4 linked regions of the Schizosaccharomyces pombe genome follow. The protein of the gene in region 2 interacts with the protein of the main gene of each other region in a biochemical or structural test. Each region holds a gene or a part of one and is shown on either strand. Other genes may lie near its edges.

Region 1 (5,814 bases), on a different chromosome or scaffold from region 2:
TCATTTCGTTTTTCAATAGCGCTGCCACGATCCGACTTCCAATTTCTTCGTCTTTCATACTCATTTCTAGCCCTAATTTCGGATCTACCTCCTTTTGCAATATAGTGTGAACGGTTTGAACATCTTTCTTCTGAATATACAATTCGATATCATACACATGAATACTTAGAAAAGAAACATATCGCGGTCCTGAACCTAACAAAAATAGTTCATCCTCATTATTAATTCTTTTTTGAACTAATCCTTCGTATGTTTGTTGAATTGTCTTGGTGACACTCTCACAGTATAGAGGGCGAGTTTGATACATGGCATTTATTGTTGCTACTGAGCTCCAAAAGACCAATCCTGGTCGTTTCGATAACCAATTCTTGCAAAATTGATAAGCAAAAAAACGAGTACCAAACATGTTGTTTAGTTTAAATACACACACACAGATATTAGCCGGTTGGTATTGGATCACATGTTTTTCCAAGAGATCCTAGATTTTAAGGAGGTGCGCAAAAACAACTAACAATGTTGAAACATACGGTTATTATATAGTGAAAAAATTAATTAATTAATTAATCGTCTAATTTCTAAAGAGTAGACTGTTATTTTCTAGTATAAGTCTTTGAGTTTAATTTTAAGTATTCCTATCCATTCGTAATAAGAAAAAATGTCAGTCTATATATCCCATTGTCCGCCGTATCCCAAAATAAATAAAACGACTATTTTAAACCAATAGCTCTCATAAAAGTCTCTTTGAACTCATCATAGTCAACAATGTCAAGGCCATTAACTGGCGTCAATTCATTTTTAAGCTCGTGAATCAATACGAACCTTCTATATTTATCATAATTTTTTTTCTGGTACAATTGTAGAGTGCTGGCTAAAGATACATCAGCGCTATCATCGATCACAATATCCCAATCCTGATACAAAGTCACGTTCTTCAGCGCTGGGTTGGTCAGGTAGCGCTGGAGTGTATTCAATAAGTTTTGAATTTCCAAGAGACTTTTGTCTGGATTGTTTGTTACAAAATAGCTCTTGACCATATCCACAATTGATGGGGGTAGAATTAAAATCCATGAATCTTTTTTAATCTCAAGAAATGGACTAATGAGTTCCAAAAGCCGTGGTGTTTTTATAAGTGCTGAGAGTGTAACAGATACCACCCCACCCTTAGGAAACATCGGTCTTAAGTACTGTGAATATGTCAACTTATCAAGGGGTTCATTGTTTTTCTTAAAGTCCGTACCCACGTGTGAATCATTAGGACTTTTGAGAGGGAGTGACAAACCAAATAAGAAAAATTTACAACTTTTCCTTTTCGCCAGTGTTAAAAATTGCAGTTGATCAAAATCATCCTCTAGTGAGACATTCAGGAAAACAAAAACATTCTGTGATAAAAACAAAGATTCCGGAATCTCGAGTCCTCGAAATGTCGGAATAGCAGCTTCTCTAAAAGTATCCTCCAATTCTTCTGCCTCCGGAGAAGGCTGTTTAGAGACAATTAAAATTTGTGTAGCTTGAAAAGCGCCTATTTTATGTAAATCGATGTGGCCTAATTGTAGTAAATAAGACAAGTAAGATTGGGATTTATGATATGGCTTTTTAGGCCTTAGATTTTTTGCCGACCATTCGACTAGGATTGATTCTAAAGGTTCAAAAATCACCATCCAAAAAGGGCTATTGCTTTGGCCTTGACAATCGTATAAATTCATTAAAGCATTATTATCCTCTGTAAATAATAATAATGTATAGTTACTACCCAGAACGATGCCAGCACCGTTGCCGCGGTTTAGTATATTTTTAAAGTGAGTCATATCAACATCGCTTCGAATACAAAGACTTCCGGAAAGAACTTTAGTCAAGCAAGTACCAAATACCTCGAGATATTGTGAAGTAACAAAACGTAAAACATCTACTTGCTTGCAACTGACTAAACTTCGTAACAACTGTTGATGTTCAGTTTCCGCCTTAAGCTTGGATATATCAAATGACAATTCTCCAGCATAGTAGAGAGATTTTCCGACTCGCAAAACGAATCTAAAATAATCAGACAATGTGCTTGCTGAAGAAAGATCTTCGGATTCGCTTATCGAATGGTGAAGAGAGTTATCCGAATTTAAAGTAATATTACCAGCCGGAACTACTTTGCTAGCTCCATCATTTTCAAAAGTTTGATCGCTTTTAGAAACACTGTTCCAGTCGTTATTAACAGTAGTCCAACTACTTCCGATAACACTTTTCTTAAGCTGCTTAGCATCTTCATTCGTCACGTTTACGTTGAAATCGAAATTTTCGTCCAGATCGACATTGCTAGCAAATTTTTCCGACTCAGAAAGGGTATCTGTTGTTGTTTGTGTAAAAGAAACGGACCTTGCATTTGCTTTCTTTGAAGGGGTTGTTTTTAAAATAGACTTTGAGACTTTACATTCTTCCATATCAGTTGATATCTTCCCTTTTACTAAAGTTACATGCCAACTTGGATGCCCTTTATCATACGCAAGTTTGGCTTGTTCGATAGAATCGAATTGAATGTAGGCCATATTACAAACTTTGTCTTTCTTTGGTGATTTGAGAAAAAAGACCTCAATATTTCCTTTGATAAAAGCAAAGTACGATAAAATATCTTGCTTCGTTAAAGAACCAGAATTATCACTAACTAATATCGTATGCGTTTCTAATTTCGGTGCTTCCTTTTTTATCTTCAAAGAGGAAGGAAGAGGAGTCGAATTGCTAAAAAATAATGAATTGGCAACATCATTATCGGAAGTTATTACTGGCGACAGACTTAAAGGGCTTGAATGCCTAAAGGTTGACAAGGGGGTGTTAGATTGTGGTGAATTCGCATTTTCAACAAAAGCGCCAGTATTTTCAAGATTGTTCGAATTTTGAATTCCGGGAACTGAGTTGTCAGAGTCACTGGGCATCAACATTGTGCTTTTAATTTCGCCATTTTTCAAAGGTATTGCATCGCTGGAGAGGCTTTTGGACAATAAAATACTGTCGGTAACTGTAGGCCACTCTGATAAGTAGAAAGGATTAACATCAGGGCTAGTTTCACCAAACGATGTGGATAGCGTGCTAGTTTTATCGGTCAAATTCCTCTCCTTCAATTCCCCTTGCATACTTTTTCTCTCAAACGCATCCTCATCCATTGTCTGATCGTCCTCTTCCTCTTCATCATTTGCGATGGTTACAATCCTTCGGGCAGGCTTCTTACGCATCTTTTTGAATTTTTCTTTGACTTTTTGAGATAATTGGGTAAGCTCGGATTTGCGCTTTTGTCTTTGTTGCCTCAATATCTCCTTTTCTCTCTTCATTTTCTTTGCCTCATTATCTTCCGCATCGAAAGGTTCAAGCAAGCCTTTAGCAATTAACTTTTTCCGTTTTTTCCATTTTTTAAGCACTTTTTCCGCACCGAATAAATTTTGTTCAGGTTCCCAAGTATTATCATACCAATCATAGCCAGCCCATTTTATATAATATTCGTTTATGCCATTTTTATTTACGCGGTCAGCAAGGATATCTTCCACCTCATAAACATCCGCGTCTGTCTCACCTTCATTCGAGTCAATATCAGGAAGTGGTTTAACAGATACCATTTCAAGGTAGCGGGTTTTTTGCTCACCTACGTGTCGCTAAGAGAGATTGAAGTATTACAACAAAAAAATATATAAAAGGATAAAGATATGAATTTAAAAAAAAAACGGAATTAAGCAAGATTGAATAGATTCCTTGACAAAACTATTAGCCAAAGTTCTTCCCTTTCAACTACTTTTATAGTTGCATGAAGGGCAGAGTATAACCTCTAAAATGGCTCAAATATTTCCCTTTTGCTTGTGATTTTTTTACCAATGGAACACAAGAATAACAACAGATAATTCCAGTAATGAAGCTTTTAGATGTTAGAATTTCGAAGTCTCGCTGCAATAAGCAAGATGGCTTATGCACTCGAATTTTGGAATCAAACAAAATCCGCGTGATTTTACCGTCGTGTCACCAACGCAAACCGTTAAATATACAAAAAAATAAGTTTTCGATTGGGTTTGGAGTTTTATTGCATTAATCAAGTGTGTGAGGTTGAGGTTGCAGATTTGAAGACACCTATGGAGACATATGTACTTTGAGAAAATACTCACTAACCACTAGTGTTACTAGTTGCATACATGAGGTACTAGTAGTCAAAAAACTTTGTTGGTAAATTGATAAATGTTTAAAATTTTCTCATTCCTCCTGAACTTCTAATTTTATTTTCTGGGTGGTTGTGTAAGTTAGAAAAACTTTAAACAAATAATGAATTTTGTTTTCAAAAAGCTACAATGAGTAGATTTTGAGCGCTGCAATTTATTAAACGATGCGTTTATACATAATACCTCTAAATGTGTTAACTCTATATAAACGAATTCAACACAACATATCATTCCAAAACTGGTAGTACAATAAGAAAAGTAAATAATTACTACGATAGAAAAAAATGATCGTGCCAAGACTCGAACTTGGGACCGTCTGCGAACTAGCATGTTAAGCAGAAATTATAACCATCTAAACCACACGACCTCTTTTGATAATTGCTTGCATTAATTTTATATAGAGGTTAACCAAGGGATCCATTTACTTATATTATTACGGAACTATGTTATTCGTTTTCCATGAAATGAACTTAATAAGAAAAACTGTTTATGTGCAGGATTTTTTTGTTTCTTGTTAACCCAAGATTTGCCAACGATAATTATTCGATGGATTACTCAAGTAACTTTCTGCATGAAGGATGCCTGCATGCCATGAGCAGCATCCAACATTGTATAACTTTTGCATAAAGAAAAAGATTTCAATTGAGCCGCCAATTTTATTCTTTCAAATTTTTAATTTCGATCATTGTGACCATTATAAAAGTGAGAAAAAGCTGCTGAAAAAACCGGAACTTAAAATATTCTTTCTTTGGCTAGATAACTTTGTAACTTGGAAATCAAAACATTGCTTTCAAAGAATTTCTACATCATTGTTTGATGCAGGACTAAAATGGGTATAGTACTGACTAATCGCACTGTAAAAACCCATACCAACCCGTCCATATCCAGTTTTGCGATTGGGTTCAATCGGTCATTCATATAATTGATAGTACTTGCATTCAATTGAGTACTTGCGCTTCTTTATATCAAAGGCATTTTAAAATGTTTACAAAATAGCGCTTTATAGTGAACAACAGCATAATGATTTTGATGATAGCAATCACTAAACGACACCAGCCTTCTCATGATTACGACATTCTTTGTAACGCAGTATAATTATTTAATGAATCATTGGAATGCGTTATATGCATTTTAACGGCCAGTGGCACTAGTGGACTTTTTTTTGTTACCATGATAAAGGATTATTACTTCCTTAGGTTTTCTGATATCCCTCTGCAACTTACCTACAACAAACTACGACTAAGTAAATTCTTCGACTATCGAAAGCAGGGTTCATTGTAATTTACAGGTATATACCTTGATATTATTTGACCTTAAATATTTGTTAACAAAAATTGTTCGTAGATTTACCGATAGAGAACTTAGCCATGTGTCAAGAGGACGAATACGATTATTTGTTCAAGACTGTGCTGATTGGGGATAGTGGTGTTGGAAAGTCAAACCTACTTATGCGTTTCACTAGGAATGAATTTAATATCGAAAGCAAGAGTACTATTGGTGTTGAATTTGCTACTAGAAATATTGTTCTTGACAACAAAAAAATTAAAGCACAGATCTGGGATACTGCCGGTCAGGAACGTTATCGGGCCATTACCTCAGCTTATTACCGTGGTGCTGTTGGTGCTCTGATTGTTTA
Region 2 (3,100 bases):
ACCACTTTGCCAATGCAAAATGATGAATTCACTGATGAGTCTGTAAATTTTGAAAATCGCTGGAAGCAGGAACTAAAGACTCCCATATCTCGATTTTCCAAGTTTCTGCGGCCTATACCTCCTAATACCCGTTGACATTTACGATTGACGGAGAGAGTTAGTTCTCTTTTTTTTTATCTAACCATTTGAAATGAGTTGAGAGTATATTGATAAACCTTTAGATATGTATAATATAATAGTCATTGCTTTGAAAAGTTTAATACATAGTCGAAAATTCGTGTAACAGTAGCATCAATAATCCTGCAACACATTACAAGTACGTGTGGAATACTTAAAAAAAAAAAAAAAAAACTTTAAGCAGGAAGTGAACGCTTCACTTGATAATTTTAAAAGGACTTTACCAAATCGTTAGGAGAGTAATGCTCCATAAGATGTTCAAAGCAAGTACTACGACTTACAGTAGCAGGCGGTCAAACAAATTTAAAAAAAAAATTTTTTTCTTACAATGAAAAATTTACAAAAATGAAATACGTATAATAAAAAAAAAACTATTTAAATTAATAAAAACAGATTAACAAAGGAAAAAAAATTAAAAACTACAAAGCTTTAAAACAGTGTTTCAGAATAAGTCAAGTGAGAAAGCAAAAACATAAAAATTAATATGCTAAACCCGACATTAAACCAAGGAAATATACATGACAATGATTGAAAAAATTAGGAAATGCAAAACTTAAACCCAATAAACACAATATACCAAATAAAATATTAGGCAATCAATGCATTTAAGAGCGTTCGCCACGAAGACGACGGGCCAATTGCATATCCTTGGGTTGAATGGTAACACGCTTGCCATGGATAGCGCAAAGATTGGTATCTTCGAAGAGAGAGACAAGATAAGCCTCGACAGCTTCTTGAAGAGCACCAATTGCGGAGGATTGGAAACGCAAGTCAGTCTTAAAATCTTGGGCAATTTCACGGACCAAACGTTGGAAGGGAAGTTTGCGAATCAACAATTCAGTAGACTTTTGGTAACGACGGATTTCACGAAGAGCGACAGTACCAGGACGATAACGATGAGGCTTCTTGACACCGCCAGTAGCGGGAGCGGCCTTACGGGCAGCCTTAGAGGCCAATTGCTTACGGGGTGCCTTACCACCGGTAGATTTACGAGCAGTTTGCTTGGTACGAGCCATAACGTAATTCGGTAAATAAACTTACAAAAAGGTTCTTTCCACGTCGGGTGTGGACACTTCCTGCTATATATACCTCAGTCAATCACAACCCTAACCCTGATTTAAGATTGCGATTTCGGCTTCCCCGCTACCTGAAAAAATGTATATATATATGGAGATGGACGCCTAACTACAGCACTTACACAGTAACTACTACGACTAGTACGAGAAGCCATTGAAATTCAAATCATAGGAATTTCAGTGTTTGCGCTTGAAAATTAGTTTTTGATATTGTAAATTGATCAATTGGTAGTCAGTTTGTTTGAACTTACAGGAATCCCATTACTCATATAAGATGTCTGGTCGTGGAAAAGGTGGTAAAGGATTGGGAAAGGGTGGTGCTAAGCGCCATCGTAAGATCCTTCGTGATAACATTCAAGGTATTACTAAGCCTGCCATTCGTCGTCTTGCTCGTCGTGGCGGTGTTAAGCGTATTTCTGCTTTGGTTTACGAAGAGACTCGTGCCGTTCTCAAGCTTTTCTTGGAAAACGTTATCCGTGATGCAGTTACCTACACTGAACACGCCAAGCGTAAGACTGTCACTTCCTTGGACGTTGTCTACTCTTTGAAGCGTCAAGGCCGTACCATTTATGGTTTCGGTGGTTAAACTGGTTGCACACTTTTCGATATTGAAGTGAATTGTATTTTCTTTTTCTTTTTTTCCTACTTTGCATATTAATAGTTGTTTCTCTTTTTATCTTTACTCATTTCTCTTTTAATATCCATTCAATGAATATTTATTTGCACGAAAATGGTTGGTTTTCCTTGAAGAAATGCAATTTTATTGAAGGGATTTGTTTTTCTTTCATTATGGATTGCACGTCTGAGAAATTTTTACCCAACCTTGTGTCTGACTTACTCTGGGAGTAAGCTCTGTTTTTAGAAATAAATAAATAAATTGTTTTTATCTAACATTTATGGGGGGGAGGACAAGAAAACACACAAATTTAGCCTGTAGTTATCACGTTTCATTAATGTATGTTTGGAAGGTTGGAGTCATATCATAACTATGCTAATATATTGTAGGCTTCAATTTGAGAAAAAATTGGGCACGAACCCATCTATTTATATTATACAAAGAGAACTCTACAAGCTGATTGTAAGGTAAATGTACTGAAAGCAAGCTGTCTTCTTTTCCCAACAGGGAAACTCATCTGTGCGTGAATTTATTACTCACGTATTGTGGCTATAATTTTTGATAAACGATGTGACTGTATTTTAAGGAAAAGCGGATTCTCGAAGCAAATTTTTCAGCTGAGTATCTTAGTGTATCGGTAGGTGAAGCAAAACTGGATGTCTTTGGTACACTGTCGCCAATAGCGATAGACGGGCATTTGGCAAACCGTTTTATCACTCTGTCGGAATTGAGAAGCGTAAAGAGTGAAATTTCGCTTTCATCTCGAAATAGCCCACGTCCTCCTACTAATTTATGAACTTCCATAGCCAAGCAAATGAAACAATCAAATAATAATAAAGAGAGCAATGTCAGATAGAGAAATGTGGCAATTATGCAATTGCGGAAGTTCAAATCAAATTAAACAAGCTTCTGCTCTTTTCCGTTCAGTCTGTTAACATACGTGATTAATAAAAGCGATGAACAACAGGAACATATGCAGCGATTTTCAATAAAAATGCCACCATTTTTGCTCTATGATATTAATAATATGAAATAGAAAGTATATACACAGATTATTAGTACATTGAAACAGTGTTTATTAGATTTTTACACTACTGAATTATACTTTTCTTATTTACTTAAAAGGTTTTTGTTCGTTAGTTTTTAAATTAAAATAACTTTTCTTTCTTTTATTTTTATTTACCCTTTTTTAATACTTGCTCTTTCACTTGATTTTGTCTTCAACACACTT
Region 3 (6,473 bases), 910 kb from region 2:
TTAAAAGGAAATTTCCAATTCAAAGATGTGGAAAGCATTAAAAAACATCCTTCCATTCTATTGAAAATTTTAAACAATTTGAAAATACCTCGAGTTTGGATTTGCTTTTTTGAAACTAGCGTTCGTCAAAAATAATAAGTAAATAAATAAAAATTTAAAATCTCGTAAAATTCTTACCAATTAAAACCTACTTAGTTTTTAAGCAAAACAAATGAGCAGAATAGTTAAACAACATTTAATTTTTATAAAAAAAGGAACTAATGGTGACAATCATGTATAAAGTCAATGAAAAATATGGCTCATCTGTTGTTGTTAAACAGATTTCAACTCAAATGAAAATTTTAGGATGGTAGTCGCAATTAGAAATTAAAGACAAACACTTAATTGTAAAATCTCTCAATACTATATAGTTCATTCAATCGCAGACAGCTCGATTCCAGAAGAATGTATATGTTTTGATACGAATGAGCGAATACAAGATTTAATGGCCGTTGAAGATTTTATTAATAAGAATGAATTAGTAGAAATTTTTTAACATTTAAAAAGTAAATTCTATGTATTTTCCCTTTTCTATTGATGTCCATCGTTTGTTTGTATATTAGGTAGTCGATTTGTTTGTTTACATTCTCGCCAACAATTGGTATTCAAATAACCAGCTTGGCGCAGACTTTTCCTCTACCACAAATATTTACAGCATAAAAAAAATCCAAAATTGAGAGCCTAACTGTTGTTTTCGACTTCTTATCATGTCTTATGAGGGCCGTGAAGAACGACCTGAGCAGATTGCTGAACCTACTTTCGAAAATGTGTCGGAACACAATGAACATGATTCGGGATCTGCTGAGGCCCAGGTGGAGACACTGGAGGTGCCATTGAGCAACGAAACCGACAATGATGATGCCACTGAAAACGCTGTTCCTGCAGAAGTACAAGCACCTGAGGAACCCAAGGAGCCTGAAACAGTCGACAATATCGATCCTGCAGATGATGATCCAAACAGCGTGGCAGCTCCCAAGGTTGAAGAAAAAAAATCCAAGAAGAAAGCCAAGGATGAAAAACCATTGACCTACACCACTGGTGGGTATTTATACTGTCGATCCAACGGACTTATTCCGTAAGTCAAAACAGCATCCATTTATTAAAAATCAAACAATCGATTGAGTAATCTTACTAACCACATGTAGTCATGTCATGAAAAGGTATTTTTATATGCTAGAAGGCCCTATGTCTATGGATTTATTAGACCATTATTATAAAAAACACTTCCATGGTACTTTGCAAGGTAACCCAACGGAACCTTCCTTAGCTTCTGAGCAAATGCACGACTCTGATGCTGATTCCCTCTTCCAGTCTGCTAATGATCACCTTAACCGTATCGCTAAAGCTACTCAAGACTGCCGTGGTTTACTCTTTTACTCCAAATCTCAATCAACTAGTGTCCCAAGCGGAATCATTAATTTGGTAAGAATTCCTAATTCCCCTGATTTTTAGTTTTAACCGTGCTAACTGTATTTTCAGACTGATGCAGTATCCATAGAACCCGGTACTGGAAACAAATTCACCATCAATTTTAACAATGGTAAATCAGAAACACTTGAAGCCCTAGACCCAGAAAGTAAAAATACATGGATTACTGATCTCAAAAATGCCATTGCTAAGAAAAAGGAAACCAAAGATAAAATTAAAGAGCTTCGTGCTTACAATGACACGCTTAAAAGACTCGGCAAGTTAGCAGCTCGTTCAGGTCCTTCAGCAAGTGAAACATTTCGTTATTTCCTTCCAATGCTTTCTAACGGACGGGACGCGAAAAAGTCATCTAGTAAATCTCATGGCGGAAAACAAAACAATTCTGTTGCCAAAGACGGTCTTTTTGACTTTTTTCAAAACATGATTAAGGGGAAAACTCCGCAAAACGATACGGCTAGTCCCATTGATAATGAAACGTCAGCTGACCCGGTTGATACTACTGTTGAAGCACAATCAGTCGAAGTTCCTGAGAATGAAACTAACCAAATTCCCACCACTGAAGAACATTTTCCTGCTACTACGGAAGAAGTGGCTCCCGCATCAGAAGAAAAACCAGCCACAGGTCCGGCAGAAGAATCAACATCAACTCAAAATGTTGAGCAAGCTTCTACTCAAAATGATAACGGAACCCCCATCGGTCAAATAGCAGACGCCATTGAAGAAGATGTTAAAGGTACAGCCCAATCAGTTGAACAAGCTTTCATAGAAGAGACTGATATTGCACTTCCTGATATAGCACTTCCCGATGTTGCGACCCCTACTGCAGACGATCAAGACCCTTCCACTGCAGCTACTAATGAAGAGAGTGTTGTCAGCAATGAAGATAGAACGTCTAAGAAAGCCGGAAAAAAGCATCATCGGCATCATAAGAAGAAAAAAGGAGGCAACAAGAGAGTATTCGGCTTTAAGCTTCACAAGTATGCTAAACCTACCAAAAGTGTTAAAACTTTACAGGCAGATCCTTCCCTTGAATTTGCTAAGGCAGGATTTGAGATATTTCCTTCCAACCTTTCAAAGAAGCTCTCAGGTTTGGTGCAAAAAAAAGTGCATAAGAAGTTTGATAAAGACGGGAGACTAAAAGAAATTTCCCAGTTCTCAAAAACCACAATAAAACCGGAAACTCCCTTAACTCCTACAACAACTCCAACGCCTCGAACAGCTGCACAAGAAGACCCAGCTGAAGAAACAACTGATGCCCTCGCCTCAGCAGAAGGAGAAAACAATCAGATGCCCCAGGTGCTCGAAACAGAAGCAGCTCCTTCTATAGCTTCTGAAGGACGGTCCATTACCGTTAACGCTTAAACGCCCTTTTTACTTCACATGTGCGCAGCAGATGAAAAGAGTTTTTCCATTAACGCTAGGCTTTACAACAATTACTATAATGCTTTCAACAAGTGTAAAAAATATAAGCACCGATATGTTTTACCGATAATTGTTCGGCAAATCCCACAGGTCAGATAATATACATAATCTCGTTGCTTAGAAAATGAATGACCTTTTTCAGTTTAACAGTAATGGAGAAAAACAAATTGTAATTATTGGAGTCAACCAGTAATAAATTAGCTTAACCGAAAAGCCAGCCACGACAATTAGCGGAACCACATTTGCACTGCCGGCGAAGTTTTGAAATTCTATTTTGCTGAGATTTTTGAGATTGAACAGGTGAGAAATCTTTTGCACCAGCGTAATCAAATGTAAGCTCCTCTAGAGGCTGAATGTCTTTGATGGCAAAAAAAGCGAGATCATAAATGGTTCGAAATCCATGGTTCCGAACAGCAGAATAAATAGCTATATTAGGTGAACAGGAGTGGTTAAAAAAACGAGAGACATCTCCATAGTTCTGAGCATCCACTGTATACTCGCTAGCATCATCAAACATGTCTAAATCAAATAAATAGGTAATACCGTCGTCGTCATAATTTTTGTCACGCTTGGCGGCCTCTGCTGAAGTTATGACTTCTCCTAAATAGCAAGTGATAAACGTGCCAGCAGGGGCAAATCGAAGCGAACGTACACCCCATCCTTTTTCTTTTGTTTTAAATATTTCAAGCGGAAGAGTTCTACCACGTTGAACAACGCGATTAGGACACTCCATTGAACAAGAACAAAAAGAGTTGCATTCATATATAACGGCACCCGTATCTGCACGGACCCGCCCCTGTGCATCATAGGCAAAATGAGTTGGCTCATCCAAATCATCTAAACACTCACAACGAGAAGGATTGTTAAGGTCACAACCGCCAAGGGACGAGCAATTGCATCCAGATTGAAAATTTGGATCAGGCGGGATAACACCTTGTGTTAAGCGGTACTGGCTAATGAATTGAAAATCTAAAGATGGACAGGGTTCATCGTCAACTTCATTGACAAGCGTTACTTCGGGTCCTTCAATTTCCCGCAGTTTCTTACGAAATAGCTCTCTCTTTTCGTAAAAACTTAGATGGGTATAAGAGTCAAGTTTGGAAGGGTTTCGCGGTTTTGTGAGAATTGAAGATGTTTTGGGGGATGTAGCTTCTTTAATAGAATTGGAAACTAGTTCTCTTTTTTGAGATTCCTCCTTCACTTCATTTCTCGTCTTCCCCAGCTTCTTTGAATTTGTATGAAGACTATCGTCTAAAATGATACTAGTATCATTCGTCGTCAGAGCGGTGGATTGTTTTCGAGATTGTCTCTTGGTAGTTTGAGAAGAAAAAACCTTTTTATTTTCCTTTTTTACATTCAATTCCCGCGAAAATCTTTGAGAACGAGGCACTGACTTTGAAGTTTGATGTTGGTGCTTTTGTCTACTGTTTGGATGTGGATTGCTCGCATGGTGCGGTGAATCCGAGTCGGAGTTACTTCCCTTTAGTCTCCTCTTCCGCCTTTTCCATTCTGCTAAAACGGCAGAACATCCAGAAAGGTTCTCAGGGGGCTCCCAAGTATCACTTCTAGATGAATAGTTCAACCATCGAATGCGATATAGTTTGACAGCTCCATTACGATCCAATTTTTCGTCCACAATCCTTTCAACTTCATACTCCTCTTGTTTAGGCGACATTCGCAAAACTAATAACCTCTTGTTTGGTGAGATGATTTTTAGCAAACCCTCCAAATGATGCCTGAACGAATTTAAAAAATAAAATAAGGAGAGGGTTTATGTTAATATGACAATTGCTAAAGGACTAAAATAATAGACGACCGCGAACTCAGAATATAAAACTGAATGTTTTTTAGTAATGAGCAATAAATATATAAAGTCGATGTGTTCAATTTCAGAGCAAAATTGAAGCTCTGAAATTTGAAAAAGGTATCAAGTACAAAGTAATTTTAAAGTTATAATATACAAATCAACTTTCAAACAACAATCCAAACTAGCAATGCCAATTCATGTTATAACAGTTTGTATTTCGACCAGGTTGTTGAATCGCACTCCTTTACAGAAGTCAAAATTTAAAGAAACGGAGAATCGCCCCGTAAAGGAAATACGGTGTTAACAACACACTGCTCTAATGAAGAACACGTAACGTATCACTATATGTCATATGTTAGGATATTACTTTAGAGCAGTTTATTGATAAATGCGCAAAACCATTTTCATATTTACATAGACGCTGGCTAATGAAGACTAAAAAGATTATAAATTGAGCTGCAACTGAACTGAGGAATGAACTTCAGTTATAAGCTATATTAGTTATAGGTCACAATGCAATCTAGATAATTTAATACCTATACTCAATTGCTACTTGTAATACCTGTGTATTGTAATACGTTAACAAGGAAAAATTACCGCAGTTCTATGTTATCGTTAAAGCAGATACCAAACTGCGTAGCTGACTTTGTATCAGTGTGCAGCACGGAGTCTAACCCATCTGTGTCTAAATAAGAAAGTTGAGCGTTTTTAAAAAACAATAGTATGTTCAATTGCTCTATAATAATAAAAGAAATGAAACAACAGTAAGATTGTCCATAGAAAAACTTTTTACACAATTAGTCGCATCGCCATTTTTATAATGATTAAAAACTATTATATTTGACTATCGGGTTTTGATTTCGGTACAAAGAATGCCTATAAACAAGCTTCTCGCAAAATTAATAAAGTAAGGAACCAAATACCTTTGCATTCGAGCATTCATTTTTTAATAATGGTTAAACTTGAGCTCATTAGATAAACAAGGTCAATTAAAAAAGATTGAGTCTCCAGCCAACTTTCAGAACGCGATAACCCATAACCCATTCTAGAAGCACATGTTGGTATTTGGTTTTTTCGCTTGTTAATTTTGAATGACAATGGAGAAGTCATGTACTCCATTTCTGGATAAATTTTCTGCAGGCTCTAAAGGTTGATTAACAGTAGCCAATCCAAAATGTTGCTAATTTGGTTCAATTTTGAATTGCAAATCGGTGGTGCCAACATGCCTTAAAAAGTTCCATTTAAATTTAAACTTTGAAAAAATGAATAAAGAAAACAAAAAACCATACATGCTTTGACCCATATCTCTAGTGCTTCTTAATACTCTATGTGAAAGCTCCCTTGATAATTGTCGATCTCAATTAGATGGTGCGATAAATTCACCAGACTACAAACTCAAAATTTGATTGCAGAATACCTACTGTACATTAGATATATTTTTTGAACGAAGCCTTTAATCCTATCCCTTCATACCATAAACAAAAAAACAAAGCCCAATATAACATGCCAGGGATTCAATATTACCAATGATGCCTCTAGTGAATGAGAATGAAATTTCAGATCCATATACTGTGCACAAAAGATTCAACAAATACACTTTGAATGTAACTAATATTGTAGCCACCATACCGGGTTGCGAAATTTTCAATGTGGAATAGGCCATACCGAAGACAAAATCTCTGTATATATTTACGATTTTTCAATTGTATTTCTTGCTTTTAATCTTGCTTTATTATTTATTATTTGAAGTGTGAAAGGACAAGATGTAAATATATTA
Region 4 (3,525 bases), 3.0 Mb from region 2:
TCGGAAAAGGCTTTTGGCTGTAAATCTCCTTAGGAAACGCTAATTTGATATTGGTATTTCAGCATTACCTTCTGCTTTGGTTTGTGAAAAACGAATCTGAATGCAATCATAGTTTTGATTTATACAATTTGAGTTTCAGAAATGTACAATTTTTTAGAGATTGTAGGCACTGTAAAAGCGTTGAACGAGTTGATATTTGACAGTTTCAAGCTGAATTTGATGTGCTATACATAAACAAAAAGCATGGCAGTGGCGCAAACTCAAATTTTCCTTTCAAAGAATATTTTGTTTAGCTACCAAAATCTTTTACCTGGTATCTTGACCTTGGTTTTAATGCTTTATTAAAATATGAAACCAATACAGCACTTTATGCAACTTTATAGCTGACCTTGAATAGAATAAAATACTGCAATTTTTTGAGTTTTACAACACAGTCTACATTCTGCATTTTTTGTGAGGAATATGTGCATCGGGTGCAACATTTCTAAGAAAAGCTTACAAAAAAACTGTAAAAATTTTAGCTGAATCTTATAGTTCTATCTTAGTAACCCACTCGTAATTCTAATTATTAAGTCCAAAGATCAACATTATGTAAATTTAATATGAGCCTCGTAATATTCAATAATTTTAAGAGGACATTTTTGGTGAATTATTATGTTATCGTGAGTTGAGACGTAACCATTTTTCCACTTTATTTTTGCAATTAGTTTACCATTATCAAGTTGTTGAACCGTTTTAACACAATCAACCAAATCTTCCCAGCTTTTCTTCTGAAAAGGAGGTTTAAAATTTTTTGAAGATTTATCAGATTTCATATATTTCTCAATTTTGCTTTGCTTTTCTTTCATAGAAGATTCAGATAAATCCGAGTCGACATAATCCGTAATACGATTTGCTGCATTCCTGCTTCTCCTTCTTTTATAAGATATAGAGTCATCAGAGTTTGAACTCTCATCTTTCTCAACATAGGAAGCTTCATTCGAAGATCGTGCGCGGCTTCGCGTCAATCGTATTAAAGACGAAAGATCTGGTTTACCTCCTCTAGATTCCCAGTATGCGTCTATTAATTCCAGACAGCCCGCACAATCTTCTTCATCATTCCATGTATTATCGGAAGGGTCATCGTACCCTTCCCATTTCAAATAATATTGGAAGCCTGATCCATCCTACATGGTTAGCAAGACAAGTATTAATGTTGCGCACCTTTTTCATCCTACTATCTAGAATCATTTCCACGGCGAATTCTTCATCTGAATTTTTATCTTCACTACCAGAACTAGCAATATACTCAAACCCTTCATTCAGAGGAACGGGTGATTGAGAGTTATGATCATCAGAACCACTAGTCTTTTCGAAATTTGAAGAAACAGAAGCAGAAGATGAACTTTTAAATTCGTTTTTGTAACTAGAAGATTCATCCTCTTCTTTTTTATCTTCAGAGTCTTCCATGTTAGAGATTGGAGACAATTTGGAACTTTTGACTTTTCTTATTTCACAACTGAACGACACATTGTGAGTCTTCTGAGACCCTGAATTTCCATGACTGTATAAGTCTAAAGAATTTTGAATATGGGTTTTTTCGGGAACACTAAGACCGTAAAGCGAAGGATGCCATGAACCATTTTGAGGACTTTCCAAACTCGCTGTCGAAGACTTATTGTTAATTGAATTTTCGGCTTCTTCAACAGTGAATGGTGGAGGACTAAAATTTTCATCACTTTCACTGATTATACTATTCATTAGGTCAAGGTCGGCACTTTTGACCATTATTAAGACTTTCCAGATATACCAACATAAATTATTAACCCTTCATATATCAATTAAAAATTTAATAAAAAATATTCTGCTCTAATTAATTTGATGCTGGTTATGCAATAATATTGCTGCTTATATGTTTATTTCGACGGATTCATTGATATTTTCTCCTCCCTTTATAAATACAGTTTTAAAAGATCCGCCAAGAAAAAGTATTTTGAATATAATTGACAGTTTTTATATATTGTGAAAGGACAACGGAAATTTTAGGTAAGGTTTATCACAAAGCGATTTACAATCCAGAAGTAGTATTAAGTGCAAGTCCTGCAATGTATTGGTTCAACTAAATATGAATACAGTATTAAAATAATAACCAATTTAGAATCGAAGTTCAAAAAAATTTGAAGATAAAGTGCTGTGCATAAAAATAACATACATGTAAAGGGTTAGGATGCTCAAGGTCCCATAATACGCTTGTCTTAAACAAATCTACCTATTGTTAAGGCAAGTAAGGGATGTATTAAAAGTGTTCATAGTTTTTCTGGAAAACTAAAAAATTGTAAATATATTATAAATCTTTTTTGTAAGCAATATTTAAAAGAAAGTATTATTTCATTTCTTTAAAACTTGTAATTAAAGATCTATCTACTATGCTTGGTTAATCAACAGAAAATATAGATATCAAGCTTCATGCAATAGCAAATATTGTGAAAACCAATTACTACCAAGTACTTTTTTTTGATATTCTATGAATTTCCTAGATACGTAAAGTGTATAACGATCTGACTTCCGTAGAGTTATCGATCTAATAATCGCTTAATTTATAAGTAGATATAAAAGCTAAACGGAATAGGTTGCCGATCCACGAATATTGAAATTATAGGGTATAATCAATTTAGAGCTGGATCAAATGTCCAAGCCAGCGATAACTGTTTTTTTATTAAATATTAGCAGACCAAAAGCAGCTTTGCAGCTTTGTTAAAAAAATTCGAGCTCAAAAGAATCATTATGAAAGTGGCTAATTTTGTTTTTGGTATTGAAACACCCATGAATCAAGCCATTTACGTCTCGTCCATTCATCAACGCTAAGGCTTTTATCTCCGTATGTCATTGGAGCGAAAAAGGTGAAACAATAAATAACGACAAAAATGAGTAGTAATGTACAGATGAGCTCTATTACATGACCGTATTTTCTATGACATTTGGAATGTCCTTTTTCATCGACATCTTTAGGAATCGGAACTCCTGCGGACACGGGTGATCGGAAGGATTTGCGACAGGCTAACTGTATAAATGCGCCTACAAGCAAGGAACCTGCCAAATGAGCAGGAAGATAATGGTGTAAAAACAATTGACGACCCATGATAAAGAATGGAAGATAATGAAAGACATAAGTCATGTAGAAAAACATAGTGGAACGGTAAAAGTGGTTACGGACAGTTTCAGGTAAAGTACGAATACCTCTTTGGCGAAGCAAAATTTCAGCTGCAGCGACCACCGTCGTACTCAAAACAGTACCGGCAATGATCCACCAACCGATAGGATTTCCCAATAAATATATTTGCTTGTTTTCCTCACTTTTAGCCCAAAACGCAATACCGTGGTGCAAAGTAAACCAATCAGAAGGATTAGAACTGTATGGATGAAACTCGGTTAACATATTATTTTGTCTAAACATTGTGAGTTGTAGCTCCAAATATTTTTTCCAAAATGGTAGTTTTTTAGGAATTTTTTTTTCCTTCTTCAATCGGCTATCTTTAAGTCCGATAA

The links.
Region 1: the proteins of hht2 (region 2) and chp1 interact in a test that uses a peptide from one of them, tested with the Schizosaccharomyces pombe proteins (3 studies listed by BioGRID, with this or other methods).
Region 3: the proteins of hht2 (region 2) and clr4 interact in a test that uses a peptide from one of them, tested with the Schizosaccharomyces pombe proteins (one study listed by BioGRID).
Region 4: the proteins of hht2 (region 2) and chp2 interact in a test that uses a peptide from one of them, tested with the Schizosaccharomyces pombe proteins (2 studies listed by BioGRID).

Annotation. Positions count from the first base shown.
Region 1 is NC_003424.3:2,210,270-2,216,083, forward strand, and holds chp1 (heterochromatin (HP1) family chromodomain protein Chp1), read right to left. Parts: upstream 4,077-5,814; 5' UTR 3,591-4,076; coding exon 708-3,590; 3' UTR 541-707; downstream 1-540. Other genes in the region: aim18 (chalcone related protein), read right to left, coding at 1-406; Rab11 family GTPase Ypt3, read left to right, coding at 5,546-5,814. UniProt on the Schizosaccharomyces pombe protein: Component of the kinetochore which plays a role in stabilizing microtubules and so allowing accurate chromosome segregation. Has a role in the RNA interference (RNAi) pathway which is important for heterochromatin formation and accurate chromosome segregation.
Region 2 is NC_003423.3:1,363,251-1,366,350, reverse strand, and holds hht2 (histone H3 h3.2), read right to left. Parts: upstream 1,233-3,100; 5' UTR 1,194-1,232; coding exon 783-1,193; 3' UTR 533-782; downstream 1-532. Other genes in the region: protein Sfi1, read left to right, coding at 1-135; hhf2 (histone H4 h4.2), read left to right, coding at 1,528-1,839. UniProt on the Schizosaccharomyces pombe protein: Core component of nucleosome. Nucleosomes wrap and compact DNA into chromatin, limiting DNA accessibility to the cellular machineries which require DNA as a template.
Region 3 is NC_003423.3:453,484-459,956, forward strand, and holds clr4 (histone lysine H3-K9 methyltransferase (Suv39) Clr4), read right to left. Parts: upstream 4,928-6,473; 5' UTR 4,565-4,927; coding exon 3,092-4,564; 3' UTR 2,830-3,091; coding exon of another isoform or gene 1,519-2,829; 3' UTR 1,462-1,518; coding exon of another isoform or gene 1,185-1,461; 3' UTR 1,115-1,184; coding exon of another isoform or gene 747-1,114; 3' UTR 513-746; downstream 1-512. Other genes in the region: pleckstrin homology domain protein Meu6, read left to right, coding at 747-1,114, 1,185-1,461, 1,519-2,829. UniProt on the Schizosaccharomyces pombe protein: Histone methyltransferase which contributes to the establishment of heterochromatin by specifically methylating histone H3 to form H3K9me. Part of the Clr4 methyltransferase complex (ClrC).
Region 4 is NC_003423.3:4,348,237-4,351,761, reverse strand, and holds chp2 (heterochromatin (HP1) family chromodomain protein Chp2), read right to left. Parts: upstream 1,768-3,525; coding exon 1,204-1,767; exon of another isoform or gene 1,167-1,203; coding exon 588-1,166; 3' UTR 518-587; downstream 1-517. Other genes in the region: ER membrane O-mannosyltransferase Ogm4, read right to left, coding at 2,774-3,525. UniProt on the Schizosaccharomyces pombe protein: Component of the kinetochore which plays a role in stabilizing microtubules and so allowing accurate chromosome segregation.